Linked DNA regions of Lepisosteus oculatus. The protein of the gene in region 3 purifies or fractionates together with the protein of the main gene of each other region. This does not show direct contact. Links are inferred from orthologs where the notes say so. Each region holds a gene or a part of one and is shown on either strand. Other genes may lie near its edges.

What was found.
Region 1: the proteins of synaptosomal-associated protein 23 (region 3) and vamp3 purify together in Homo sapiens (affinity purification with western blotting; 6 studies listed by BioGRID and IntAct, with this or other methods). This does not show direct contact. The link is inferred for Lepisosteus oculatus from reciprocal best matches to the Homo sapiens genes SNAP23 and VAMP3.
Region 2: the proteins of synaptosomal-associated protein 23 (region 3) and stx6 purify together in Homo sapiens (affinity purification with mass spectrometry; 3 studies listed by BioGRID and IntAct, with this or other methods). This does not show direct contact. The link is inferred for Lepisosteus oculatus from reciprocal best matches to the Homo sapiens genes SNAP23 and STX6.
Region 4: the proteins of synaptosomal-associated protein 23 (region 3) and vamp2 purify together in Homo sapiens (affinity purification with western blotting; 4 studies listed by BioGRID and IntAct, with this or other methods). This does not show direct contact. The link is inferred for Lepisosteus oculatus from reciprocal best matches to the Homo sapiens genes SNAP23 and VAMP2.

Annotation. Positions count from the first base shown.
Region 1 is NC_090720.1:9,620,965-9,627,856, reverse strand, and holds the start of vamp3 (vesicle-associated membrane protein 3), read right to left. Parts: upstream 3,023-6,892; 5' UTR 2,900-3,022; coding exon 2,898-2,899; intron 1-2,897. UniProt on the Homo sapiens protein: SNARE involved in vesicular transport from the late endosomes to the trans-Golgi network.
Region 2 is NC_090704.1:30,260,950-30,267,923, reverse strand, and holds the start of stx6 (syntaxin-6), read right to left. Parts: upstream 3,018-6,974; 5' UTR 2,820-3,017; coding exon 2,785-2,819; intron 1-2,784. UniProt on the Homo sapiens protein: SNARE promoting movement of transport vesicles to target membranes. Targets endosomes to the trans-Golgi network, and may therefore function in retrograde trafficking.
Region 3 is NC_090703.1:20,902,001-20,909,429, forward strand, and holds the start of synaptosomal-associated protein 23, read left to right. Parts: upstream 1-4,427; 5' UTR 4,428-4,692; intron 4,693-5,906; exon of another isoform or gene 5,907-6,016; intron 6,017-7,429. Other genes in the region: zinc finger protein 106, read right to left, coding at 62-115. UniProt on the Homo sapiens protein: Essential component of the high affinity receptor for the general membrane fusion machinery and an important regulator of transport vesicle docking and fusion.
Region 4 is NC_090698.1:9,315,324-9,323,104, forward strand, and holds the start of vamp2 (vesicle-associated membrane protein 2), read left to right. Parts: upstream 1-4,771; 5' UTR 4,772-5,090; coding exon 5,091-5,092; intron 5,093-7,781. UniProt on the Homo sapiens protein: Involved in the targeting and/or fusion of transport vesicles to their target membrane. Major SNARE protein of synaptic vesicles which mediates fusion of synaptic vesicles to release neurotransmitters.

The DNA.
Region 1 (6,892 bases), on a different chromosome or scaffold from region 3:
AGGCCGCGGGGCAGGATACAGGGAATTGTATCCCTGCGACCCAGAATTAGAAGAATCAGTCACAGAAAGGATGGACAGATTAAGGGACTAATGAGGATCCACACAACAGAGGTTAAGCTGAATTTAAACTTTGCATTTTTCCATTTTTATTTACTATTTGCAGCCTGTTCAAAAGAAGCAGGTAGACACCACCTATCGATGTTATTCAGGGTGTACGACACTTGGACTGACAGCCACAAACGCGATGAACCAGAGCTGCCGCTGACTAAACGTTGACATAAACCAGGCACCAGTGCCTTTTTCCAAAATAGGGGATCTGTAAACTAAGCCAGAAAAGTCCCCTCCAAGCTACACATGAGCCACAATGCAATAGTCTGCGTTTCCTCTGCAGTCAGACTAACAAACACCTAAGGGGATTAATATTCTTCTGGCTGTGTGGCTCTTTTTCTCAACAGCCCAGTATCAGACCGCTATTTTATACTACAAGAGATAACCGTCGTGTTCAGATTGTCGGCAACCAAAGTATAAAGTATTTTAAATGATGCATGAATAGACGAGGTATTTCTGGTGTTCTTTAATCTTCTAAATTCACTTTCCAGCGCGATTCTGCAGAGACCCAAGACATCCTCAGGATCCACGCGGCATGTAGGAATTTGGGGCTTCCTGTGTCTCAAGGAATGGACGTCTCCTGTCTGCCTGCCCGGGAACAGCCCCAAGTACAGCACAGCCTGAGCTGTTGCGACATCTTGCAATTCAGAGCCACGCGCTGATCCCCAGCAGGAGCACAAAGGCACTGCGCCACACAGCTGGCCATCTCCCCCTGGCTGAAGGAGAAACCTCCTCTCTGGCCCGCCTGAGGCGATCACATGCCTGAGGCGGATCTCTGCCCCTTCATCCCCACCAGTGGAGCGAGGCGGCCGGTCCACCAGAGCAGGAGGCGAAGGGGCCGGGGACCGGCTGGCACCACCGCCAGCCTCACTGGGCTCCTGCCACAAGCACGGCCGTTGTGGCAGTTGGACAGGGCGAAGGGGGAAAGACGGAGAGGTGGCTCTGTGGCTCAGGATCCGCGCCTGTGGCTGGAAGGTTGCCGGTTCGTATCCCGCGGCCGGCAGGGGAATCCTACTCCGTTGGGCCCCTGAGCAAGGCCCTTCACCCCAGCTGCTCCAGGGGCGCCGTATAAATGGCCGACCCTGTGCTCTGACCCCCAGCTTCTCTCCCTGTCTGTGTGTCTCATGGAGAGCAAGCTGGGGTATGCGAAAAGACAAATTCCTAATACAAGAAGTTGTATAGGGCTAATAAAGTGATCTTATCTTAAAGAGGCGCGTCTGCAGTACGCAAGAATGGAAAGGCTAGGTCGGGCTAGGAACGACCTCAAAGCAGCCCTGGCGCGACGTCATCTCGTCCTCGCCTCGTCCGAATGGCCACCACCGCCTCTTGCCTCAGAGACCCCATCAGCCCGTTACCTGTAGCCCCTTCAACCACCCGAGAGCTGCGGGGATCGGGACACAGACCCAGCGTAAAGGGCGGGTCTCGAGCAGGCACAGGGAAACCTTAGGGACGCGAATCCCCCTGGCCAGCAAGCCCCCATGAGCTGGGAGGAAAATGAAATGGGAAAAAGACACATGGGAACGAGGAAGGCTTGCAAACTTCATACAGGACGTTCTTCCACCTATAACATCTGTCTTCTCATTTATTTTACCAAGAAGATTTGAGGCGATCCCCCTCGTTAGCATTCGCCCACACAGCTTCAGCAGACTGTCCAGATGTATAAATGGATGCAAAATATAGGGCGATTTCAATAAAAGCAGCAGAAAAATCGATGAATTAGTAACGAGGATATGCTTTTCTTAGGCTTTTTGTTCAGAACAGAATTCCCCAGTCCTTTGCATTGCATTTTTCTTCCTAAATATAATAAATGTCGTACCTTGTACATATGAATTACGAAGTTGAACATAATCAAACAACGACCCAAACTGCGATTTTCCTGGGAGTGTTAACAGCACTGTGGGCATCGCGATTAATAGGTGCTACCTCCGAGATAAGCGTCCTATGCTTTAAGCGAGCTTTTAAAAATAAAACTTGCCTGTTGCATGTAAGGTTTGGACAGCCGTTTGAATCCCGGCCACTTAAAATATACTCTCAAGAGTGATTTCAGAGCAAGTTATGCAAGATAGTGCGCCTGGACACACCCGAGGTGACCACAGCGAGGTCAATTATTAAAGTAATTTCCCGCACAACGACACGTCTCTTATAAAGCATATTAAAACATGACACCAAAACGCAAAAGTAAAAACCAAACTGCGGAAAATTTCGGTTAATTTTAAATAAGAGAAGCCCCCCCCCCCTTTCCTAAAGCAAGAAAATAAACCACCTCAACTGCGTTACTTCTTCAATAACGAAAAACCGAAAATGCAAAGTGGCGAATGATCCAGTACCGGCTTTCTTTTAACGTAACTCTTGATCATGTAAAAAAAATAATGAAGCGTTTACTCAAAAAAGAGTAACAGCGCCGGGTCCATTAAAAACCGTTTACTTCCCATAGTAAAAAAAAAAAACCTCAACAAAGTAACACATATGCAGCAAACACACAGACAATGGTGTCCTGGATCCTGGCTTTACCGTTTCAGACCTCGACGGATTTGTTATAAAGTTTAAAAACAAAAACAGAACAACGGGCCTACAAGTCAAAACTTAAGACGAAGCCTCGTTCTTGCCCGGCAACTTGACTCGGGACAAACGCCCTTTGCCCGCATCCCCGACACCTCACACGGGCGCCCTTCACACGTCGAAACGGGAAAACCGCCGCTCGGTTTCGGTGTCGAAATGTTGTTTTCGCGGCCCACCCTCTGGGCCGGGGCCCGAACGGCACCGGGTTTGACCGGGAGAAACATACTTACATGATTACCGCAACGGGACCAGCAACCAAGTGTAAATCGGGCTGAGGTGGTGTCAGCTAGTGCGACCAACTTTCACAGCAGGATTTAAAGACACAGCGCACTTCCCAGCTCACTCCCGGTCGCTGTTCGACCGTTTTCTCGCACTTTTACAAATCTCTAACCCTCTACCTTGCCTGAGGCCATGTATTTTAAGTGTTTTAAGTGTTTAAGTTCGGTGCATTTCTGTTCTTGCCTTTGCTCCAGACTGCACACATCTGACTGGAGTTAAATAATTCTGGATTAAATTAACTAAATAATTAACTTGATCGCAATAAACAAAAACGTCTCATGAAAGGGACTGTCCATCAGATGCGTTCACTTTTTGTCGTAGCCTTTTTATTTATTTATTTTTGGTTTCAAGCGGTTGTTGTTTTTTTAGCATTGCAAGATTGACCTACAAGTCGATTTACTTTAGAAAGTCTCCAGAGTGTACTCTAGTGAGACACCAGTTTGCAAGCAGCTGTTTCTTTTATACCCAGCGCCCCTTCGGATGCCCACCCGTGACGAGCACGCGTGTGACCGGCTTTGCGTGGCCTCGAGCATCCCGAGAACAAGACTATAAATAAAGAGAGGAGACTCCTGTTGGAAAATGACAGGTCGTTCTCCAACACATACTCAAGAACAGAGACACAGTTAAGAACTATACAGATCATCCTGGCAGAACAGAGTGATGTTCATTGCTTGTAGGACCCGAACGGGTTTAGCAATGGAAATCTCAAGGAACACTCCTCTGGTAAATATTTCAGCATTGATCTTAACAACAACAACAACAACAACAACAACAACAACAACAACAACAACAATAATAATAATAATAATAATAATAATAATTGCTTACGCTTACATAGAGCTTTTCTTGATACTTCACTCAAAGTGCTTAACAGGTAATGGGGACTCCCCTCCACCACCACCAGTGTGCAGCCCCACCTGTGCCCTGGAAATCATGTTGCTCTTAGGATTCAGAACACTAATACTTTTCTGGAAAATGACACAGCAACGCTTATGGCCTATAGAGCTGTGAACCAGCAGTTTTAGAGAGGCAGAGAGCTGTAGCACATTCATCGTGCTCCTCAACTGTCTCAAGCCAACATGCTCCAACTCCACGTGGACACCTACAGCTGTGTCGAATTAGACACTGAGAATGGTCTCTGAGCGAATATTACCAAGATCACAGAACCCCTGGGAGCCTGTCAGCACGAGTCTCCTGGACCGAAGGAAACAATCGTGGCTATAATGAAGAGTGTTCCGCTCAGACAGCATTTACGGTTTCCAATTAGTGTCTCTCTACGACAAGCACTTATTTTTTTCTGGTATTAAGTGACAATTGCACTGTCAACATTGCATTAACAGCAATTTATTCATCTTTAATTAGCACTGTATCAGTATTGATAGCAAATTCACTTGAGTTTATTGATTATCATGGAAAAGACCCAACGATACTCATACTGCCAACCATAAGCCCAGCCTAAAGTCTTCAGCGTTTATTTTCAGGGTATACACAGATTTCCATCATGAAAGTTCAAATGTAACAGAAAAAACAAAACAAAGCAACATCATACTATGAGAATTTTCTTCATTTTTTTATTATTTTACAGCAGAAAGAATATAAAGCATTCAGAAAACATCTTCCATATTTTAAGGGCAATTCAAAACGTTTTGCATGGCTTCAGCAGCTGAATTCTTTTTTAAATTTTTTTAAACATTTCCATCGATTCAGTGACGCTTTTACATGCACAATTACAAAAATAAAACTTACAAAAGAGAGAGAGAGACAGACACGGAGAGAGAAGGGGAGAGAAGGGGGCAGGGAGCAGGAACAGAGAGAAGGAGTCCAACAGAGGGGAAATTAGACAGACAGAGAGGAGAGAAAGATCTAACACTAGTTTCACATGCAAAGTGTTGGGGGCCCACTGCCTTGTTAAAAAAAGCAGGGCCATTTTTTGTTGTTTTTTTTTTAAATTTTTTTTTGGAAATGATGAAAAACGTGCAACTAGGCCAGGGGTTTCATGATATCGCTGTCCATAAATCACTGAACACCTGTCTCGCAATACTGGCAACTGCAGAAGTGGAAGTTAACTAGGTGTACTTGATATTCTTCTAGAGACCTGGAGATCTCACTCCCAACAAAAAAAAGATTTATTGCTTTGTGTCTGTAAGGAGAAAGCCCTGTACTGTAAGAATCTGCTCTGATATTTCCCCAGTGATCCAACCTGCTTTGTGTTCGAGTGCAGTGCGGGAGGTGTGTGTGGGTCTGTGGTGTCCAGTTACTACAGCTGGAGTTGACACTCAAAATTCGATGCCTATCACCTTTCTCCAAGATCGGACTCGGATACTAGCATGTGAAATTTCCCCATCTTTAAAATGTGAACGGACAGTATTCTAGGATTCCCTTTAATTCCAGGATTTTCTTGAAATCGGATGCTTTGGAGCCGAGATGAATTTCACTCAACTCAATTAAAATAGTTAATGAGCCGCTTTTACAAATTCCAGCGAAAGGGGCTGCCAAACACAAGCCGGATCTTTGTGATCGACATCACTGGTGAAGGAGGAGTTTCTTTGCTGCTTCCTAATGTTTCTCACGTTAAAAACGCTACATGTGTCTTTTAGTATCCATGGGAGATGGGATCATGGGACCAACTACCAAAGTAAATCTAACAGCCAATTTTGTAGTAATACTTTGCCAAAACACTCTAAAAATGCAAAACACCTCCATATGATGAAATCTGCTGTGCTAAACAACTGACCTGTTTGCACTGTCTTGCACTGGAGATGTGAAGCAGAACTCCAGCTAACAATTTTTTTAAAATCCATGATCAGACAGGCGGTAAAATGATATCAGATCCTTCACAAATTCTTCATTCTGAATATCCCTATGAACATCCCCTTTTCCTCACGAATCAATCTTTCAGGGCTCCTAAACGTAAATCATATAAATACAAATATTCATTTGTTCCCTTATCTATTGAAGCAGTTAATACACATAAATGGCAAGGGTCAATGCCATTGTGTCAGTATATGTTTATGCTGTAACAAACTATGCAAGCGTAATATATCATGGTTATGTTTTGTAATTAGTTATGCATGCGCGATTGATGTGATGTGTCATTTTGTGCGATATATTCAGATGCACAGAAGCAATGTGTGTCCATAAAACTTTTCCCCTAGGGAACAATAAAGTGTATTTTATCTTTCTGTATATGACAGTGTAAGAGACAATGATTCATAGAGAAGGTTAAGACTTCTTGCACTGCTTGTTAACTCCTGAGTATGGAGGGGTAAGACATTTGACTTTGTGTGTAGGACGAACTGTGTGCTCATATGTTTGCACACTGTAGGCCAATGTCCCGTGTCTGCATGGAAGAGACACACGCATGTGGCGGCTTTAAACACACCTCACCATGCTGATCTGGCAGTAATTCCATAGATATCACTGCCAGTCTATGTTTCACTGTCTGCATGCTGGCATTCCAGCCAAGGCTGGGTGCATCAGGTACTTCTGATATATCTACAGTAGGGTCGCCTGGCGTGAATGCACAACGGACCTAGACAACACGCAACCTTCGCACATTCTGCTCCAAAACAAGCTACACAAAAACAGAATAACCCTAAATCCTAATGTTCATCATGAATCAAGAAACTGCACTTCTGGAGTGTTTTAGCACAGCATTATTCATAATTAAAATCAATAATAAGTCAAATTCTATTGGCACACTGGCAGTATTTTTCAACTAATTAAATCAGACGATGGATTATTAGCCAACACATCCCAGAATCTAGCTGTCAAAGCAATCCGTAACGCCCACTAATGGAATTGGGGCACATCTAATTAAACCCACTGACCTCTTGGACTATTTCAGACTTTTGGTTTAAGGTTTTACATCAGCAATAACTTTCATTGTGAAAGAAATGAATTAGATTCCTCAGTAGTATTTTTCCATGTCAGGGGCTGCAGGTTG
Region 2 (6,974 bases), on a different chromosome or scaffold from region 3:
CTTTGAGTGGAGTATCCAGAAAAGTGCAGTACAAGCGTAAGGATACATTTCAAACACTCTTCTTAACAGATTTCAAATGTCATGCAGGACAAGATATATAATCAGGAATAAGTGAACAATCCTAGTGCACACTTCATAAACTCCTTATTAAGGGTCTAAAAGGGTCAGTTGATAACAGAGGTGCTCCTGGACCAGCTGGGTTCAAGATAGATAGATAATACTTTATTAATCCCGTAGGGAAATTGATGTGTTACAGCAGTCCAGCCCAAGACAAGCAAAACAGACATCAGAATAGTTATTAAACAAAAGACAAACATGATAAATAAAAATAAATAAATACATAGGTGTGTGCAAAATGTGCTGATCATAGTCACTGTAAAAACAATAAAATATGTGCAAAATGTGCATAGGTTTATACAGACTGATTGTCCAAAAAGTACAATGGAGTAAACATGCTGTCCATAGAGAAGCAAATGAATGGCTAAAAGTCCTAGCCTAGGGCAGCGTTATACACCCTGACAGCCGCCGGGAGGAAAGACCTGCGGAAACGTTCCCTTGAACACCGTAGCTTGAGCAGTCTATTGCTAAATGTGCTCCGCTGCCCAGTAACAGTCCCATGAAGCGGATGAGAGGTGTTGTTCATGATGGCTGTGAGCTTGGTCAGCATTCTCCTCTCAGCCACCACCTCCATGGGGTCAAGGCTCATCCTCAGCACAGTGCCAGCCTTCTTGATGAGTTTATTGAGCCTATTTACATCTTTTGTCATGATGCTGCTGCCCCAGCACACCACAGCGTAGAAAATGGCCGCCGCCACCACTGATTCATAAAAAATGTGTAGCAGTGTTCCACACACACCAAAGGACCTGAGTCTCCTAAGAAAATAGAGTTGGCTCTGACCTTTCTTGTACAGGGCATCAGTGTTACCAGACCACTCCAGCTTATCATCCAGGTGTACCCCTAAGTACTTGTAGGAATGTACGCCCTCTATGTCCTCACCCTGGATGGAAACAGGGTTTAGCGGAGACTTATTCCTTCGAAAGTCAAAGATAATTTCTTTGGTCTTGCTGGTGTTAAGCTGGAGATGGTTAAGATGACACCACTCCACAAAATTGGTAATCAAGCTCCTATATTCCTCCTCCCTCCCCTACTGTAGATCCACTACTGTATTTCACCCCCAGCATGCAGAAATAACCACACACCTGGTTTTAGTGAGTTACAAATGAGATCATTCTCAATTCAAACAGACTGGTTTCAGTCTAAAACCTCATGGTATCAATCAGGTCATCTCACTGAAACCTTAAATCACTTCAATATGGGCTCGTTCTGTGAGTGCCAGTTTCCACCCACCTACCCCAGACATGCTGGCTGGGTCAGATGGATCAGAAGGAGTGTGTAATTGTTCCTGTGTGCCCAGTGGTGGACTGGCATCCCATCAGTAGTCCTGCCTTGTGCTCTGTGCTTCCAGGGTAGTCTCCAAACTGCACAACCCTCTGCAGGAATTAGTGGCTTTCTTCTCGATAGACTTGTGTCTTGGATTGTCTGTTACCTTGCTGCTTATTTACGAGACAATACCTTACAACTGTCTTGTTTTGAGTTTTTGAGACAGTAAATTACGTTAAGCTCGCCCTCATACCCAAAGAAGGCTCAACAGCTGAAACACTGTTTCCTTTCTTCTCTTTTCAGCATGGAATACATCTTTATGTTTAGTTTTGCTTCATTTTTTTTTAGATGATTATTTTAGATAGATGGAACGTCCATCACGCAGTAGGCACCTAAATATTTCAGGTAGTATTTTAGCCAGCAGCAACTAATGCGCTATTTTGTGCTAAATGGGGGAAATTAATCTCCCATATGTAGCTTCGAAAATGTCTTGATGCCATTTTCCTAAAAGAAAATAGCTTACAGATATAAAAAAAAAACAACTGCAGCAGTTACTCACGCAGTTTAATCAATGTTTATGTTTTCCCAAGGCATCTGTCTTTGTGCACACGGCGATAGTGAAGCAGAACTATGATCGCCGACCTCCGCGGGTTTACTCATGAGTTTGGAGCAATCCACTCATGGAGCCAAAGGTCAGGGTAGCGCGTCATGGAAAAATACCAGTGACTCATAATGCGATGCAATGGGTCTTTCCTCCCCAGCCAGGGAAAAGTCTGAGGTAGCAGTTGTGGACGGTCACTGTCGGGACACTGTCTTCAGCCCTACAATAGCACGTCACGACTAACGGGCTCAAGTGAAAACGGTGTGGGACACTATCAATTCTGACGATGGAACTAGCTTCGACAAGAGCAAACTGGAGAAGAGAAAAACCCTTTGCCAGCAAAAGAAAACATCCCCTTGCTTTGTTAAACGCCTTGGGGCCACCTTGTTGTGAAAGGCGCTATATAAAAACAAACTGAATTGTGATAACACGCCAAGCCGTGCATCGGACCCGGGTCTCAAAATCCACAAGCGGATTTTAAAACGTAAGGAGAAGCAGTGAGACTCAGCGGATGGCTGCTGTCTTACAACAAAACGCAAGTTCCCCATCACATTTACTCTACAAATCATGTTAAAACGTGTTACAGGCCTAACGGTCAATCCTGCTCACCATTCGTTGTATGCAAAACATACAGAACCGCCATTGAAAACACTAAAATACGGTAAGACTTCAACGAGACCCTGAGGCGACAACACCGCCTTGTCTCTCCCCAGAGACTGCGTTATCCCAGACTTTGGCTGGGCTCGACTGGAAAACAATCCACCATTGTTCTAGGTTACAGGAGCAGAGAGCTCAAAACTCACCCCTTCACCACGAAAAACGGGTCCTCCATTGACATCCTGCACCTGTTGACGAAATGTTCAGGGCCTCGGTACCGTCATACTCCGATTACCAGGGACAGCGGTCGCTCTGCGGTTTATATTTTTGCGAGAAGAATTTGCAGTGAATTTTCTGTTTATATAAAGACAATTAAAGCTCTCTCCACTCCTCCTCCATCGTTGGTTGAAATTACTGCCGGGTCGGAGGTCACAAAGCTGAGTAAAAGGAAGAGGCGGAATTAGCACGACTGTGAGTATAGCGTTGGGGGGTTGTTGTGAGAGTTTCTTCCTGGGTAGTCGAAAAAAAAAAAAAAAAAAAGACAGTTACGTGAGTCACGTTAACATCATGCAAGCGCGAAGTTTGTGGTTACAGACCGGATGGAACAGACTCATTAGAAAGCGAAACAAGTACGTTACGTTTCGATATAAACATTTCTAATCGAAAGCACGACTGCAGTGTCACCACTGGACGAAAAATGATTTCTGCCGTCAAAGTTTAAAATCGTGCTTTGACTTCATAAAGGGTTATTCGAAACCACGCTGTAAACGAATCGACAAAAATGGTAGTAATAATTTTACTTACATCTGGTATTTAAAAGTATAACCCGAACTTGACTGTTGCAAAGATCAGTGGTACTTCGGGAAGAAAAGGGTGTTCATGATCTATGATATCGTTACAGGCTATGGTAAGTGACAATGTAAGTGTCTCTAAGAATCTAGGTACAAATTGGTAGCACCTAACTAGTGTCATTTCCACTTTATAGAGCTTCAAACCATGTTTATTTTCCATCTATCATTACTTAATTGCCGTAGTTCTGAGGTTGTGCTGTATGTGAGATGCTGATCAAAAGAATCTTCTGGTTTATTTGAGTTAATTTAACTTAGTTCTGATGTTCACCTTCGTTCTGGGAAAATAATTAAGAGTGTCGGAGGGATAAAAAGACAGAGATACATGGAGGGCGGGAGGATCAGAACAGAACAAGAGAGGATACACTAGGATACAGAACACAAACCAAGTGCCGGGTGAGAGGTCCTTGTCTACATCACCCATAAACACCAGATTGGTGCTAAGTATTTGCACCTTTCTAAGAGAGCTCACTATTCTGTTTTTTAGGGAATTCTGATTTCCGGAGTGAAGGATTCCTCTGTTAAAAACAGCCTCTCCTATGTAGTGGGTGCATTTTTGGAATGGGGAGATAGGTTCCCTTAAATTTGGTGGCATCTGGATTTACAGAGAGAGATTTAACCACAAGTTGTATTTTGTTAGGTTTAGAATGCAGCTTTGTCCTATTCTGGCCTTTGTAGGTGTTATGAGTTTGAATACATGTTAGCAGTCGGAGGGCTTTCTGGGTGGTCTAGACGTAGGCTTCTGGAATGCCTTGACTGTAAATTTTAAAATTCAGTAACTTGTACGTTGTATGTTTAGTGTGCTGTAAGTTTTTAAATAAATGTTTGCTTAACACACTGTGTGTGAATCGTTACTTTTTTCACCAAAGCTGTACCAGAGAACAAATAACTCATGTGCCTCTAATCATACCAACCACTTAAGTATATTCTTGGCAAAATCCTTACAAGTTGTGGGTTATGATTATTTATTTTATTATTTTATTGACTAAACCGCTAAATTAGTAAATTCGCATAACCTCCCATTTGTAACAACATATATAATGGACTCCAACATTTCTTACTTCTCTAAATGCAGCCGATTGAATAGCATCAGGCCCTGGTGATTTGGTTATCTTAACATAGTGCTTCTAGTACCTAATTAATCATTTTGTAATACACTTTCTTTCATCTTATATTTTTATTTGTTAGTGATTTAAGCCATACGGTCACTGATTACTAGACTTTGATTTAGTCTCGGGTTGAATCTGTTTTAAGCTTCAAGCAGAATATCTTTAAACTGTCATCAGCTGTTCTCTTTTTGCATTGTATTGTCCGACTCCATTCTGCTTCTCTTAGTCTCTGTTTCATTCCTTCAGTCTGCTTCTGTGGAATTCTTGACATTTGTTTTGTACTGTTACAGGTTTTTACCTCAAAGCGTACCATAATATGATCACAGTTCTCTTACCTTTGTTTTCCTCACTCTGTCTTGCTTATTTGAGAACACTAGATGAATAAGGGCGTTCTTTCTAGTAAGTACTCCTATGGAGTAAGAAAGCAGTGGCTAATGTCTACCATTTCAGTTTTAGGGATGGGAGTTCAGTTTCCGACTATATAAGGGAAATTAATCGTTTCTTCCTTATAATATTGATACTATATTCCTGAGATAAAGTGCCAAAGGATATATTATAAATGTCATCTGATTGTGCAAGTCTCTAGGATACTCCCAAAACTATGCCTTTTAAATCAAAGCAACCAATATATATCCTTCATTTGTCAAGATTCAGCTCTTGCACTTGAATGTTCTTTGTGCCATATAGTGCTAAACTTCCCCCTCTTCCAGTGATCCTGTCTCTCTCTCCTCTGATATTGTATTACCACTGTTCTCTGTTTAACATGTAGTTGTGATTCCACTGACTTCATTATCTTCTGCTAATATGGTTACGTCTGCCCCTTTTGTTTCTAATAATCCAGCATCGACTAAGTTAACTGGTCCTTTGATGTTTCTTTTTTCCCCTGGGTTGTCTTCCTGACTTGTGGATTTTCTATAGATTATGTTCCATTTAATTTCATTTGTCACTTTAAATGCTTTTGAATTTCTTTGTGGATCCTTGTGCCAAATTGACGGGTGCCTCCTTTCGAGATAATCCTGCGCGTCTCTGTACAGATGTCCTTTTGCTGTACAAAGGTTTCCAGCGGCCAGGACAGTTGTAGTCTTCTTTGGCACAACATGTTCTTGACCGTGGATTCTGTTTATGGATTAGGATGCGCAGTTGGTCTCCTTTACTGCAATATAGCAAAATATGTTTGGCTTTGGAAAATCGTGCTGCTCAACAAAATACTGGCGCCCAGTATATTGACCAGACTCTGCTTTTTGTGGTGAAGCCAAATTGACAGAAATCTGATCAAAAGCATTGCTTTTGTATGCCATAATCAATGCCATTTGCAAGACCTGGAAAAGAACATGCAACCCAAAAAAAAAAATTCCTAGAAAAGGCAAATAATTAGAACAAGATGGAAAGTACCATGGAATTTGGCAAGCCTGTAACTTTTCTGAGCTTCCAGTTCAAATCTTCAGTGTTTATGTCATGTTCGCTTAAGAGCTCAAAGCTCTCGTGGCGCAGAACTGAAGAGGTGGGCGTGCACTGGGGCTGGTGGAAGGGGCGCATACTCTTACACGAGGTGTTAATTCAAAGGCTACAGTGACTTGATTGTAAATCTTTGCAAGGACAGAGTTGATGCTTGAGGGATATTTTGGGAGAACAGTCACACCGTGACCTACAAATCTACATCCCTTGCACATTAACCCTTTGTGGTGCTGTGTACCTAGTATTTCAGCTTGTACGTTGGAAGGCACATGTACGTTTGAGGTACCCTGCCTTGTGCTCGTTGCTTGCCGGGATAGGCTCCAGCTTCCGTATGACCCTGTATTGGGATAATTAGTTAGAAAATGGATGGATAGTTCAAATTTCAGAATTTCTGTGTAATGTGTGCACATGAATAAAAAAAAAATATGCTCATGTGCACATAATAGGTCTGTAGGGCAGTACTGCGGAGGTCAGTTCTTGGACTGCTGCTCTTCCCAATCTATATAATTGATTTCTGACTCTGGGATGGACAGAAAACCTGTCATATTTGCAGATGGTTCAGAAATAGGTGTTGTAACGTCAGTGGAAATGTGCATCCCTTCAGTTCTTGTCCAGCAGGTCTGGAAAATGCCAAAAGCCAATCGAGCAGATTCCAAAGCGACAAATATTGTCTGGGTAGCGGTGGTGGTGTTGTCTACCACTGCCATACCATACTGGGAGCAAAGAACCTCACATGCAGCCGGCGTTTGATAGAGAAGTACCGCAGTGTCTTTAGTTACTTTAAAAAATAATAAAACACACTGAGGGCGGCACGTTGGCAGAGTGGTCACTACTGTAGTCTCGCAGCATATTGGGTCCTGAGTTCAATTCCTGGGGAATTATCTATGTGGAGTTTGTATGTTCTCCCCAGGTTCCTGTGGGTTTCCTCCAGGTGCTCCGATACCCCTCCTCAGGCTGGTAGGTTCATTGGTTTTTGGGAAATTT
Region 3 (7,429 bases):
ATACAGAAATCAATAGTCCTGTCAAGTCCCTTTCAGTCTATTCTTTTCACAGTTGTGTTACCTTCTTTGAGTTGTAAACGATGTGGCAGAGAATGCACTTCCGTTCTTTTCCCATCTTGGAGCTTCTAGATAGACATCAAGCCATCACCTTGGGAAGCTGTGACAAAAAGCACAAGCCATATTAAAACACAGGTCAAAGACTCCGTTGGACAGAACCTCAGGACAGCTGCCTGGCTAAGCAAGTCATTTTCATCATATGGGTACAATGTGTGCTTTCTAACTAATAAACATAAGGGAGCTTACAAACAAGCATCCCATTTAGCAGCAAGTAGCTCACTGGTCAGCAGATCAAAAAGGCCTTACAAAGAACATTTATTTTTAATCTGAAATCAGGTCTTTTGGATTTTATATTATAGTCACTATCATTGCAGACAGATGCACAGATTTTATGCAGAACAGTCCTGATACATAACGCTCTTGAACTGGTGAGCCAAGTCTGCAGCCCTTCTGGACCTCACAGAATGCATCCTGGGTGATTTCTTTCAAGTCCACAATGAAAAGGCATTAGAGGCAGTAATTACAACACTGAGGTACACATGGGTTTTCTTAAAAAGATCATTCTGCAATTACTTCCCTGAACAAATCAGATAGGTGAGACCCTGGTGACTGTTACACTACAGCTCCCCATGTAGAAGGGCGGAGGAGCACTTACAGTAAGACTTTTAAACAATCTAAATGAAGCTTAGAGAGAAACGAAGAGGACGAGCAGAGCACGCTACCGTAATCTTACTGTGTCTGGACGAATCCAGCTCTAGAGCCTGACATTGCCACACTTCTTATCAATACACAAGAAACACACAGCTTTCAAACAGAACCAAATGGGAATATAGCAAGTGGGAAATAGTGAAAAATAGAAACTACTAAATGTTGCGGTATATTAACCAAAAAAATAAGTTTCAGGTACAGAATGTCATTGGGAAGCATAGCAAGCAACAGTCACAACATCTTTGCATCTTTATTTGCAGTGTGAAAGGTGAGAACTACTGCCTTCGGTAACAATTAACAACAGAGTTTAATAAGCTGTCCCTCTTAAACCCTCAAAGACTAAGCTAACCAATATACATTTCCTTAGTAGGACCCTTTATGTCCTTACAAGCAAGTTAAGGTCACTTATACATGTAATTGGAAGCAAATTCTTCTGCTATGAAGCAGCCCAACCTAATTTGAAAAAATTTAGCAGCCATCCCACTCACATTACTCCTGCTAACACAAGCAGAATACCCAGCAGAGGAGACACATTTTCATCTTGGGAAGTGCATGCCAAAAATAAAAACTGAATTCAACTTCTTTTTTAATGATTTTACGGGCAGTTCAAAGTTCTTTCTTTAAGATCTTGACCCATGTTTTGCACAGAGTTCTACTTCTAGCATACTACAATAAAGGCTCCTTTAAAGAAAGAAAAACTACACAAGAGAAATGCGCGATTCTGCCCTCTTGTTCATTTGGCTCGGCACAGCTTCACAGTGGGAGAATTCCATGTGCACATAGTGTCGACAGTCTTTCGCACGACGAATGTGCTTGTGTCTTCCTCACTTATTGTGAGGGGTGTTTCACAGCAGGCCTACACTCACGGCAAGGTACTATATAAGATAAGATAAGATCACTCTATTGGCCATATACAATTTCTTGTATTAGGAATTCATATTTTCGCATACCCCAACTTGCTCTCAATGAGACACACAGACAGGGAGAGAAGCTTGGGGTCAGAGCACAGGGTCAGCCATTTTTAGGGCGCCCCTAGAGCAGTTGGAGTTAAGGGCCTTGCTCAGGGGCCCAACGGAGTAGGATTCCTCTGCCGGGATACGAACTGGCAATCCTTCCAGCCACAGGTGGAGATCCTTAGCAACAGAGCCACCACACCGCTCATATAAGTGTTTGCTCTCATTTCCTATGCATTTAGAAAGTCAAATCTCAAACAAAAGGCATGTTCGATAGCCCACCCATTGTAGCAGACCTTCAAACTCTGTTACAGTAGGTCACACTGACAGAATGCCCTCTGCTACAAGTTAAGGACCAAATCCTAATCGGCAACTCTGTCCCTCCAACATCTGAGGCCACAGCTATTTTCAGCTGCAATAAAGAGAGTGAGATCATTCCTGGCATTTCTTTCGGCTTTCCAGTCCCCAGAGTGGCACCCAAGCAGCCCACTCACACACTTTGAAAGGAAATACAGGGACATCTGATTTAACAAATGGCTACTGTACTGCTCAGGGATCAAACCAGGATCGGGTTTCATCTGCAGCTGAAGCGTCAAACCAGAGAACAAAGATTTACTGATATAAAATGATCAAAAAGCATGTTTCCTACTATGCAGTATGTGTGCAGTGCTTTGTGTTTATCCAGATTACATTTTATTTGCATAGTATCTCCACCTTATGTTTCATTAGTTATAAACAAGATAGACACTTAATCTTAGAATTACTCCTTTTAAATCTAAAAACTATGAAAAGAAAGAAAATCAATAAACCGGTTGTATGATGCCAAGAAAAAAACACATCATGATTATTATTTACAGGTTGAGCACTCTGCTAATAAAAGCGGAAAGAATGTAAAGCTGTCACATGTATTACGGTTACTTCACTGTCACCTCTACTCTCATTATTTTTCACACTCACAGTGGGGAAACAGAGCCACAGTGCTATAGGCCACATTCGGTACTAAAAATCAAGGAAAAGCATGAGTGTGGATGTTAAGCTGTAGGTTATGAGTGTGGAGGCAGGTGAATGTTAGGTGGATACTGGTTGTAGAATTTGATATGGCAACGTCAACCATACAACCCGCACTCAAGAATGAGGATAACATTAGGATGCCTGTGCTATCGGCTTCTTCGTCAGCTGCAACCAAGACCTCCATGCAAGATAGAAAGATGACTCTATGGATAGCTGAACAAAGCCACAGAGGCACATGCTCTTAGGGCAGCTGGCCATCAGGGAGCAGATATTCCAGACCCTTATTATAACTGTGTAATGCTGCTATATCCTCTTTTTCCTTACTGTAAAACATGTTGAGGAGTCACTTTTAAAGTCGCTATATAAAATAGTTGTTCTCTACCATTATTTAAATATGTAATTTCCTATAGGAAGAAAAGAAGAGGGTATTTGCACTATCCTATTGCAGGCTGCTAGAGGCAAGTAAGTATAAATGAGTAGAAATGGCACAGTACACTATGCAATATATCTCTGGTGAGGCTGTGAGAGCAACAGTGTTTAGCCTGCATGTGAATTCCCCAACACCTTGCAACCAGTCATCAACCACAGCCACTGACCCCCCGCTGTCTATTTTATCATAATACAGCCAGAAGATTGCGGGGCGTTAGAAACTACAAGAAGGATTTTCAATGTCGGCATGTCACATTCTCCCCTTGAACTTGTTAAGGATTTAAACAGACAAAATTCATTTTATCTGCCTGAATAATTGAGCATCTTGCAGTGCTCGCTGCAAGATCAACTTCGTTTTCTTCGCAATAACACGAGTCGACGAAACTTCTTACAAATATATAACAGAAAGAGCTCCAATCCGGTGACTGGCCATTGGCCCGCCAATTTAAAGATAAGGGTCAGTTTTGATTTTCTAATCACTTAATCAATGGATTTATTCTATCAAGGGGGCTGCAGGGTATTTTGATGTTTGTACTTAATAGTCCTGGACTGTACCAAATGTTTCACTGATCACAGTTAATTGTTTCCAGGTCTGCGGAAGTGACCCCTTATAAACTTATCAATGGGGAAGAAGGAAGGCTCCGGGACCAGGTGATTTAATGCAGTCCATCTCTAGTAGCACGGTTATTTTTGTGATCATGGTTTAACCTTTAAATGATAAAGACTGTTTTTTTTAACAAAACGCTGCACTTCCTAAATACTCTACTGAAACGCTAATGAAAAAAAAACAATCACTAGTTACCGAGCACGCAACGAAATAATTTCATGAAGCAAGAGGTAGCATTGTGAGTGTTCAGGAAGCGCAGATAAAGACCTTAACATCGCCACGTATTGTACTTATAAACTCTGCAAAGCACTGTACTATTCGCTTTCCTTTAGCGGTAAGCAACTGAACTATGTCGCATCCCTGACAACATCTGGGCGCACTGAGCACCAAACTCGTACACGCTTCCATGTGTCCTACCTCGGAATTGCCTTTAAGGGACTCTCCTAGAGCCCATGGTCTGTAATCAGAAATCTGCGTCGTAGACTTCTATGCCACAGTGCACGCGCTTCCTGTTTAAACTGATATACTGTACTTCGTTTTAGCGGAATTATAACTATTCCCAGCACAATGCTGTTTTCGCCGCCATATTTGCGCGCGTCGACCCCGCCTCTTCCTTCTACGCAACAGAACTGAGGAAATACTGGGAGCGAATCGTGCTCAAGGAGCTCCTGGGAGCGGGGATTCAAGGCCGAGACTACATTTTTCTAGGACTTTGTTGTCTACGTGGAATAGGCATTTCTATACAAATTCTGTTAAAAAGCTCTGCGTTTCGAGTCTCACCTCCAGATCCCGGGCGGGGAAAGAAGGAGAGAAGACACGCTAGAGGTCCCCCGTCCTGCACCAGAGCGCCTGCTTTCGAATTGGTTACTGGTGTAACCCTGATTTTATCTGTTCCGCAATTGTTTATGCACAAGGCACCGCTTCAAGGTTTGTAATATTATAATTAAAACCAATAGTTTGTTTTTCCGCAATGTTCGTTTGCATTGTAATTGATCTTTTTAGGGTAGTACAATTATCGTGTGTGGTGAGCGTAGTGGTGCACTATGGCTACCGTCACATCATCCAGGTGCGGGGTGCACATTGGTGGTGGTGGAGGGGAGTCCCCATTACCTGTAAAGCGCTTTGAGTGGAGTGTCCAGACAAGCGCTATATACAGTAAGTGTAAGAAATGAGTAATTACTGTTATAGTATAGCTAGCTATATACAATTTCCATTGTATTATATACACGTCGTGGTGTTCATCAATGTTTTATGCGTATTATATGTAATTTTGAAAAACTGTTTTAAGATTTTCAACTGGTTTTGACACTCATCATGAAAAACGATTAACAGGTCTTAAAAATATAACAATGGGAAATGTTTAACACATCGGCATAGCAGCGTATCATTTTACTACACAACATGCTAAGTGTTTTAACATGATTAAATGAAAAGTGAAACGGTTTAATCTTCTGTCGTGACGACTAATGGAATTCTGCTGCTGGTTTCCTTTCACTACCAAATGTTCACAGTTGGCAAGATACATCTGATATTTGTACATTTTTAGTCTCATTCTTCAATAAATTAATTGGAATTATATGCAACACCAATAGCGTACTAATGGTATGGAGTATTTCAAAATTCCGAATATGTGTGTGTGTGTGTATAATTTGAATTAATAAAATAGTATTAAAGTATTATTGTTTCAGGAAGTGTTTTGTGTACTTTTTATTTCTCCATAAAAACATCTGTACAGAGAAAAAAAGAATACCGTTTATAGAAGTTATTCATAGCCCACTTCCAAGAATACGTCAACGAAACGTTAAATCTTCGTAAATGTTTAATTTCGTGTGAAAGTGAAATGTACGGAGGAAACCATTACAGCTCAAGAGTCATTCATTACATACGACATAGTCTAATCATTAAAATCATTTTGGTATATACACAGTGATGGGTCGGGGAAAGTGTAAAAAATGTTCTTTGTGTAAATTACAATTGATCATCCAGTTTAATTCCAAAACTAGATACAGCATGTTTGACGGGATTCATTTCTAAAGCACTTCCCTTTATTGGTGTTGGATAGGTTGTTTTCCTACTCTGTAAGGGATGACGTAATTCAAGTTTCCCAGCACTGGGACGCATGCTCAAAGCGGCCGCTGTCCTTAATCAGATCCTCGCATGCGCAGTGCAAATCAGTAGCCGACTGAAGGAATTTGTTTCGACTCTGTACCCCCGACTGGGAGCTCTGAGTGTGTTTCAACTTAAAATCACAGTAAGTATTATTTAATCCATCTGCGCTTTCTACCACCTTTCTTCAGCTGTCAGGGACTCAGAGGGTAGTCATTTTAAACTTTGTGAGAAGCTGGACTTCGTTATTTCTCGTCGCGGAAGGGTGTTCCGCTGCTGAAATAGCAGAGGAGAAAGAACAACTACACAGCTGTAAACAGGGTTTGAGCTAGTTAGAAGTACAAAGCAATAGTCTGCTAGAGAAACAAAACGGAACATGAAGAATAATTCTCTATGAATAAAAACAGCGAAACGCCTCTGTTCGTGGCGGCTGCCGGTATCAATCCACCCACTACAGGGAAAAATAAATGTTTTCCGTTTCGAAACGTCCACGGCTCCTTTGGAAGTCGGTAAAACTCGACCCTTTCCTATGATAATAACATGCAAAGAAGCGAGGACTCAGATCGGTTGTAGGGATTTTTCTTTTCGGCCTCAACATGAGGCATTGAAGAAATGGGGCTCTCCGCCGAGTGGGGGCTTCGCGAGTGTGGTGGGGGTGCTGTGGGTTTCCAGTTAAGGAAGATTCAGGAGTCATTAATTTTCAAGACCGCAACACAAGAGTGCTCTTCTATAGTTATGTTACTGGGAGACGGTTGTAAAAGTTGTATGTGAAGACTTCTGGAGCAGAAGTATCTGGCACGTACTTACTCCTTTGTGTGTTGGAAAAGACTAAACTTCTAAACTCCTTTGGAATTAAAAGATCTGAAAATGTTTCGCTCTCTAACGTTATAGATATCGTTATAAAACTATTCCACAACCGTTTTTGTAGCTACAACGATTCTCAAATAGTCTTTTTCAGTGAACTTTTTTCATTTACATATTTCTTTGGCTCCGTATCTGACGTAGATTAGTAAAAGTACTAGTAAAGCCGATATCATTTATGGATTTTTACACCCCAGTGGCTTTAGTTTGTTTACTTAGTGACCCTAACTATTGAAATAGATTATTTACAAATGTTTTTTTAAGATGAAGTTAGAATACCTATTTCATGGCTTCTAAAGCAGGGAAATAAGAGATCCAGAATTAAAAAAAATATCGTTCAAGTTGGAATAATGGCTTCTTCGAACCAATCATGTTGATTCCTGGACGGGAACACCTTGTGTGTGGAGCTTGCATGTTGCTCCCCACTGGCTTCAGTTTTCTCTAGGTGCTCCAGTGTCCTCCCACCTCGCAGCAATGTGCTCGCTGGGATCATTGTCATCGCAAACTGGGGCGTTTCTGTGTTAACATGCACTGCAATGGTCTGGTGTCCTGTCCAGGGTATAGTTCCTGGAGGCCACTGACCCTGACTGGGAACAACTATATTTCTGTTAACAGACTGATGGGTCTCGGGCAGGAGAGCTGCATTGCTGTGGGCAAGGGTGGGTTAACTTTAAATGAGGAAGCAGAGGAATCGTTC
Region 4 (7,781 bases), on a different chromosome or scaffold from region 3:
GAAAGGAGTTAAGACAAGCTGGCTCAACCTGCCTTTTTTTAGTACGGAGACTGTGACCGCATTTTCTGGAATGTAGAGGCGCTCGGACTGCTTCAAGCAGTGCTGCCCAGCACCAGACCTAGTGCAGCCTGTAGGTTTTTATTTCAATTAATGAATCAACTGGCTTCATTGGAGCTGTATAACAGCTGCTGATTGATAGGTGATGCTTTATTTGGCGAATGAGAGTTCTGGTGCCAGTAAGCTGTTCTCATAGGGTTGGATTTGGAAATATTGAGGATTAGCGTGACTTCTTTTAGACTGTTGAAATCTACTGTTTTTATGTTTCGTCACCACTGGGATGTGTTTTAGAAAACCAATAAATTCTTTATACAATGTAAGGTGCTGGATGTTTCTTTATAGCTATTTACTGTGGGCTTTTAAAGGGTTTTCTTTTAACAGTGATGCAGGGCACAAGTAGAATAAAAAGCTCACAAGAGGTGCTGGACTGCACATACAATGTTATCTCTGCATTCAATTCCTGTGACTCCAGGAAAAGAGTGATCTGGTTTCCTGAGCCATGCTGCCATTTCCTGCTCTGGTTATTCCCCTTCTAGTGAGCAGGTTCACTGGTTTCTGCTGATCTTTTATCCATCAGCCTCCACTCCATCAGTTGGCTGTCGTTCTGTGCCATATGTTTTGCTCCCTCTTGGGAACATCCACCAATCCGTGTTTGAGACGAGGTTAAATTAGACCCAGTCGTGGAAGTTGTCGTGGTTGGCTCAAGACCATTCCCTTCATCTTGCTCGGGTTCACAGGGAGGGGTTTATGCCGTTTCTCTTGTGATGAAACGGCACCTCCAGTGGCAGGTCTGTCCGTCGCTGCAGAGCTTCAGTCCTGTGTGCAGTGCCGGGCTGTCTGCTCCAGGCTTGGGGTGTGCTGCACAAGGACCAGGAAGGATCTCGGTCTCTTCTGGGCGATTGTGCTCTGATTGGCGTTTGTGTCAGACCTGCTGTTTTTAATAATCTGGGACTCTGCATGATTTCAAACCAGGGAGAGATTTCTTCACAATCGCTGAGCATTTTTTCCAGCTATGGTGGTTTTGCCAAAAAAGGGTGACTATAGAAATTGCTGAATGTCTAGTGGTGGGATAAGTCTGACTTCCACCACACTTCAACTTGTAGTGTTTTAATTGGCCTGATTTCATTCTTGAGATCTCTTTGTTGTCCTACGTGCTCCTAGTAACGATGAAGCTTTCAGCTGGCTTTTGATATGTAAAAGTTAAATGCTGCTATATGCAGAATAATTCAAAAAGTTTGCAGTGAGTCAAATTTATTGGTTGAAAGAGGGGATTGGGGAGGGGGCGTCATCAGGAGTGTGGTTGCATAGGGGGGTCCTAAAGGCCTGGATTGGGCCAATGGCCTGGTTTGGGATGCAAGCAGAACGCCAGGCCTTTTGTTTGTGATTTAAAGTATACAGTTAAAAAATCTCATCTCGCCTCGCCTCCCCTCCACCCCTTCTGATGCTGCGACTGGCAGAGCACTGTGCCACTTTGAATTCCAAGATGCTGAAGGCGCTGTCGCCCGCTCGCTGCCAGCCTAAAAATAGCTGCCGTCAGGCCGGCACGGGCGGAGAGGAGTCGGGAGATTATCCGATGCGACAGTGGCAGCCCCCCCACTTTTCACACACGTCAAGTGCAGCAGTGTTGAGGGTGCGAAGTGGGTGCTGGGACCTAATTAACACCTGGGCCTGGTGTGAGAGCCTGGCTGCCTGGAATTCTTTCAATCCGAAGTTGAGGTGTTTGTGTAGGAGAGAAGAAGGGAAAAAAAGAGGCGAGAAGCAACTATCTTGTTGGCGATTCCCCCAGGATTCCTAGAGAATCCGTAGGCAGTGCAAGCACAGAAACGGGAGACGTGTGGATCCGTTTCGAACCAGATTTATGTTTATAAATCTTTTTGTTCTTGAGCTCTCCAAAGATGTTCAGCATTTTGGGTGCTTTGCAGTGGCAGAAAGAAGGAACGATGATAATTGCTTATGCTTATATAGTACTTTTCTGGACACTCTACTCAGAACACATCACAGGTAAAGGGGACTCCCCTCCACCACCACCACCACCACCACCACCACCACCACCCATGTGCAGCCCCACCTGGATGATGCAATGGCAGCCATAGTGCACCAGTACACCCACCACACACCAGCTGTCAGTGGAGAGGAGAACAGAGTGATGGAGCCAGTTCAGAGATGGGGATTATTAGGAGGCCATGACTGGTAAAGGCCTGCGGGAAATTTAGCAAACACCCCTATTCTTTTTGAGAAACACCCACACAGACCACAGGGTGAGCGCCCCCTGCTGGCCCTACTGACACCTCTTCCAGCAGCAACCTTAGCTTTTCCAGTAGGTCTCCCATCCAGCTACTGGCCAGGCTCACAGCTGTTGAGCTTCAGTAGGACTGCCAGTCGAGAGCTGCAGGGTGATATGGCTGCTGGTAAGCAGAGCCGGGAGAGAGCTTTCCTCTCAATGCATTGATCTGGTGCCCCAGGAGATCATTACTCAGGAGTAATGGGGAACAGATTCCATCACCAGATCTCCTCCAATTTCCTCCTACTCCCAGCTCAGATCCTCATTTTTTCTACCTGCTATCGACAGACACTGCCCTTCCTTGTAACAGCTGTCCGAATTAATCTTGTGGGCTACCAGAGAGTGTCGGTTTGTATTAAAGAGCTCAAGAGTGGAGACCGATCAGATGAGACCACTTCAGCACTTGTTTCTGATTTGTACATTAGTAACTCATCCAGAGTTTTCCTGAAAGACTCCAAGACGATAGTTTTGGTTTCGTAACTGGGCAGCTTGTTCCAGACTCCCACTGCCCTTTGTGTAAAGAGGTGCCTCCTACTCTTGAGTGTCGCATGCCGGCGACTTCGTATTCTCATTTTTGTTGATTGCTTTCAGTTATGTCAATTTATTTAGCAGAATTCAACCCTTATCTATTTTCTTATATATTTTTCGCCATCAGCATTGTAACTCGGCCAGCGCCTTGCATCGTCTATCTCTTAAGTGTTGTTGTTACGAATGCGACTGCGCCAGGCGGAGAGCGGGATCTGTGTTTTTCTGATTTACCACATATGGTAAAGGAATGGTACACGTCTGGATTAAATCGATCCTTTCCCTGGCAAATACTTTGTGTCTTAAAGAATTACGTCTTCTGCCCAAGCAAGATATTATGATGCCCTAATGTTTAGGTGCAAGCCTTTTGCGTGAATAACTGGTTTGCTGTGAAATCCGAGAGAAATAAATAAAAGAATTAAAGTTTGGAGTAGGCGCAAATAAAGTCATTCATACTTTTTCAGAGACGGCTCGTATGGTAGCGTGGCCGAGCGGTCTAAGGCGCTGGATTAAGGCTCCAGTCTCTTCGGGGGCGTGGGTTCGAATCCCACCGCTGCCAATAATCCATTTTAGTTTAAAATAGTTCAGAATTAGGATAGACAAGGAGATACCATCTGTGGTGATAGCAGTTTTACAGACTGTGCGGCAGCTTTGCTCATTTTTCTGCAGATCCCTAGCGTGAAGAAGCGCGGTCAGATCTGAAATCCCAGCTCTCTTTCCACATGCTCAGTCTGCAGGCTCTCGAGCTTGTTGCCTTCGGTCCAGTTAAGCAATGTTTTGGGGGGGGGGAAGGGTGGAGTGTAGGGGCGGGGAGAGGGCTGTCACGGAAAGGTCAATTTTTTGTTTTGTACCTGTTCAGATTTTATTTTCACAAAGCAACACACCCCGCTTCGGACGATTTGAATTCATCGCTCAGCCTTCGTGACGCGCTGAAACGTTCTAGAATTTGAGACGCGGGAGATGGATTTTATTTATTTGTTTGTTTGTTCAAAAAAGAAGGCCACGCTACGAGTTAAAAGTTGGGCGGCATCTTTCTGGCGCTGCCGACAGGTCCAGAAGCCAGAGAGCCAAGTCACTGCGCCGCCATTTTGTTGTGCCTCCCACGGTACCCTGGCTCTCTTTCCCGTCTTTCTCCTCTCTCGACATCGTTTCTCTGAGGCGTAAATACACCCTCCCTTCCCCGGTAACACTCCTGCGTTTAAAATACAGGACGCCCCTTCGTCTTTTTTCCAAACAATTCACGAAAATGAGACTTTTTGCAAAATACAGCGCCATGTATATGTATGGCCGTTATGTTACAGCGCCATCTTCCCTCATCCTCGTCATCTATTTGAAAAGCTGACAGGAAAACATTCAGGGGGAAAAAAAAACTATAACATGTAAACATTAGGACTAAGCCGTGTAATGAGAGCCGGGGCTTTGTGCGAGTGTGCGGGGGGGAGGCGGGGTGGGGCGACTCTTAACAGTGTGCAGGGAATGCAGGACTACAACAACAGGAAAAGATTTTTAAAAACTTTCCGACAATTAAGCGTTTTAACAAAAACAACGCCGCTGTTCGACTGTTTCGTGAGGAAACAGAAAAACGCACCCCAGGATAGACGGTTTGTCCCCTGAAAAAGCTGACATTAATGACAGACACAACTAAAAAAAAAAAGAAAAAACACCCCTTTATGAACTTGACCTATTGAAAATTCACCCAGACTGCTAGTACACTGTTAGTTCGTGTTCTGGAGAATAAAAAGAAGAAGCGCTAGTTCAGTAGATATTTTAAAAGTTTATTTTTTCCCGTCAATATAGCACGATTCCCAGTATATTGCCTACAGGTTATGCGATTCCAACCCCCCGCCCCCTCCATCTCTCCAGCTCCCCGGAGCTGCCCCGGATGACGGATGACGTCAACAGGCCATCTTTGTTCTCAGAGCCCAGCGCCTGTGTTTTTTTTTTTCCCAATATCCCTACAGCTCGAGCGCCTGGACCCATCCGCGCGCGAGGCAGCCATCCTCTCCCATCGATTTGCACGGTAGAAACTGAATAAATAAGACCGAAGACGGGGACAGGACCACCGCCTACAATATAAAGGGACACATCAGCGACCGCAGCGGGGGAACATAAAATACAAACATCGACAAAATCTGAACAGAATATTTAAAAAAAATATATTGACACCTATTCACAAGAAAAATAATCTAGAACGCCAGAAGCATATACTTAACAGACCACAAACGAGATGTGAGTACGAATAATTGGTTTTGCATGTAGGCGTTAGGTATAATATATATATATATTTGTATTTAATTGTCTGCTAAATGAGGATTTTCACAGGCGGGCGAGATGCAATGAATACACCCCAGGCTGCCCTACCCCTGCCCTCTCTCCGAATTGCCAGAAAGGGTCAGATAACGGGGCGGCAGAGTGGATATTTTCCGAGTGTCCTTTTATTTCACCACCGTATGAGAGGACAGAGAGAAATAATGAAGCGTCTTGTTTAAACGCAGTACTGTGTCACTCCGGACAGAACCAGCCCTTCGCGTTGTGTTGTACAGGAGCCGAGAAATGTTTGTAATTATTGTCACTTTTAATTTTGTTTTCCCCCCTAATCATCTCTTAGAAATACGCTTTCCTTTCGGCGAACAACACAAGCCTCTCTCGCCATCTCACGTGGGTTGGATGTAAACCATTTGTGTCGGGTTTCTAGCCGATTTTCTTCGGCGTTTTGAGTCGCAAAACAAGCGGCTTAGACGACTCCCTGCGCTGGTTTGCGAGAAGCGAGCGGGGGTCGCGGTTTTGGGTCAAGACGTTGATGGCGTTTGTGCCGACAGCGCTGTGGTTCCCTGTCTTACATGGGGGCGATATCCCGGGGTAATCGCGGCGCCCGTTCGTGGGCTTGTGTAGGGCTGTCACGGGAGGACGGAGAGGGGGCTGGGTGTGCGGTTCTGGACGGTCCGGGCGCCAGTGGACCGCATCCCCACCGAGGAAGGACTCCGTGTTTCCCGGCCGATCAGGGCCGGCTGCTGGGATTTCGGGATGGCGATATCACCCCCGGTCTCGACAGGTTGATCGCGACAGGGGAAGGAAAAGCAGTCTGGTTTGGATGCAGCCCGGTGCTCCTGACTGCGATGTGTTCGCCCACAGCTACACTGTAATGTAGCTCGGAAAGATGGACAGAAGACTCGACCTGACAGGTTTTCCGCTGCCCGTCGTTGTAATAAGGGATCTGGTTGCTTAGGCGTCCACTCTGATATTTGTTTTTGAAAGGGAGCAAACATGACTGTTTCAGAGGAGCACAATTTATATAAGATGTCAGAAATATGGAGGATGAGGGTGATGGTGATGACGATGATGGTGATGATGATGACGGGCAGAACGCTGTCATTTATAGCGCTGGCGACCGGGGGCTCGTGTCGGTCGTCCGCCGCCTCAGGTGACGGATCGGGAGCAGAGAGCGGACCGGCGGCCGGAGTCGGTTCTGTGAGCTTCACCGATCCAAAACGAGCGTGGAGCCGCAGGGATCGGGCGTGATTATGGAAATTTAACGATATATTTTTTTTTTAAAGAGGGGGTATTTTTGTATTCAGCGCTTCGTGAATGTGATTGTAATGTGATTGAGCGTGCAGGTTTTTTTTTTTGATGAATCACGCTTCTCGAATGAGCTACCCCCCTCCTCCTCCTCCTCCTCGCCCCCCCCGTCTCTCTCACCCTCTCTCCGGTTTAACGGAGAGGTAGGGCTCCACCATCCAGCCCACGACGCACTCGGGTGTATCCGCGCCGCCCCGAGAAGATGAGGTGTTGTCTTTTTAAAACCGGACACCCGAGGAGTACACGGGGGGGGTCGCGCCGGGTGGGCGGGCGGAAAGAGCTAACTTGTCATTCTCAGGCCCCGGGGTGTGAGTGTGCGCAGATCCCCCCATCTCCGCGTCCTGTCCCCTGCCTCCTGCCTCTCGCCTCTTCTTGCGTTGTAGCTCTCTGTCCGTCACTTACACGCCACTAATCTGCATGCAATCACAGCAAAGACAGGTTGCTCTTGCCTGGTATGTTCTCTGTGCCTTTGTTTACATGTGTCCATCCATATCTCTCAAAATATCAAGGGTGCCCTGTCTCGAATACACTTGGGCGAGAAGATCGCCGATATGTACCTGCAATACACACCTGAAATGCCGCACCGCATTTTTTTGGTTTTGTTTTCGCGGTGAGGTTGCGGCGTGTACTTCTGTATAAAAGCAAACCTCTCGTTCTGGGGATCCGTCTCTGACGTGACGCGTTCCTGCGTAGGGCACGAGAGCGCAGCTCGCCTCTCGCCTCTCGCCGGCGGGCGGGAGTGCGCGCCCGTGCGCGGCGCGTGTTGGCAGGGCCAGGCTCCGCTCTTCCAAGATGGCTGTGGCGTCAAACCCCTTGAGCAGCGCGGGGAGGAGGGGAGGGGGGGTGTTGTGTTTTTATTTCTTGGAAGAGGACGGATTTGCCGTCTAAAAATAGCTCGAGACGCGAATAGTGGTAGATCTGGAATCAAATGAAAGCAGAGGAATGAACACAATTTTATCAGAAGTCCAGTGGTATAGGTCCTGTGACAGTAACCCATGGCTATTTCACTTGGGGATTTCCGTATGAGCAGCATCTGGCTTTTGAGCAACACACCAAAGAAGAGGTTTAGTGTGGATTTTACACAGCACTCTGCACTGTGGGATTAACGTGACACCACTTAGAGGTGACCTTTATTCGGAATTCTGTCTCCCCCGGCTGGCTGGACTGTGTCATGGCGGGTCTTGCGCCAGAAGGCTCATGTTTACCATATTAATCACACAGCCAGTTGTCTGATGTTTTATTGGTAGTCACAGTCACAGGGATAGACTCTTATAGTCCCTGTGGAGTCCAGTACACTGACACAGCCCAGTCACAGGGCTCTAGACTCTTACAGTCCCTGTGG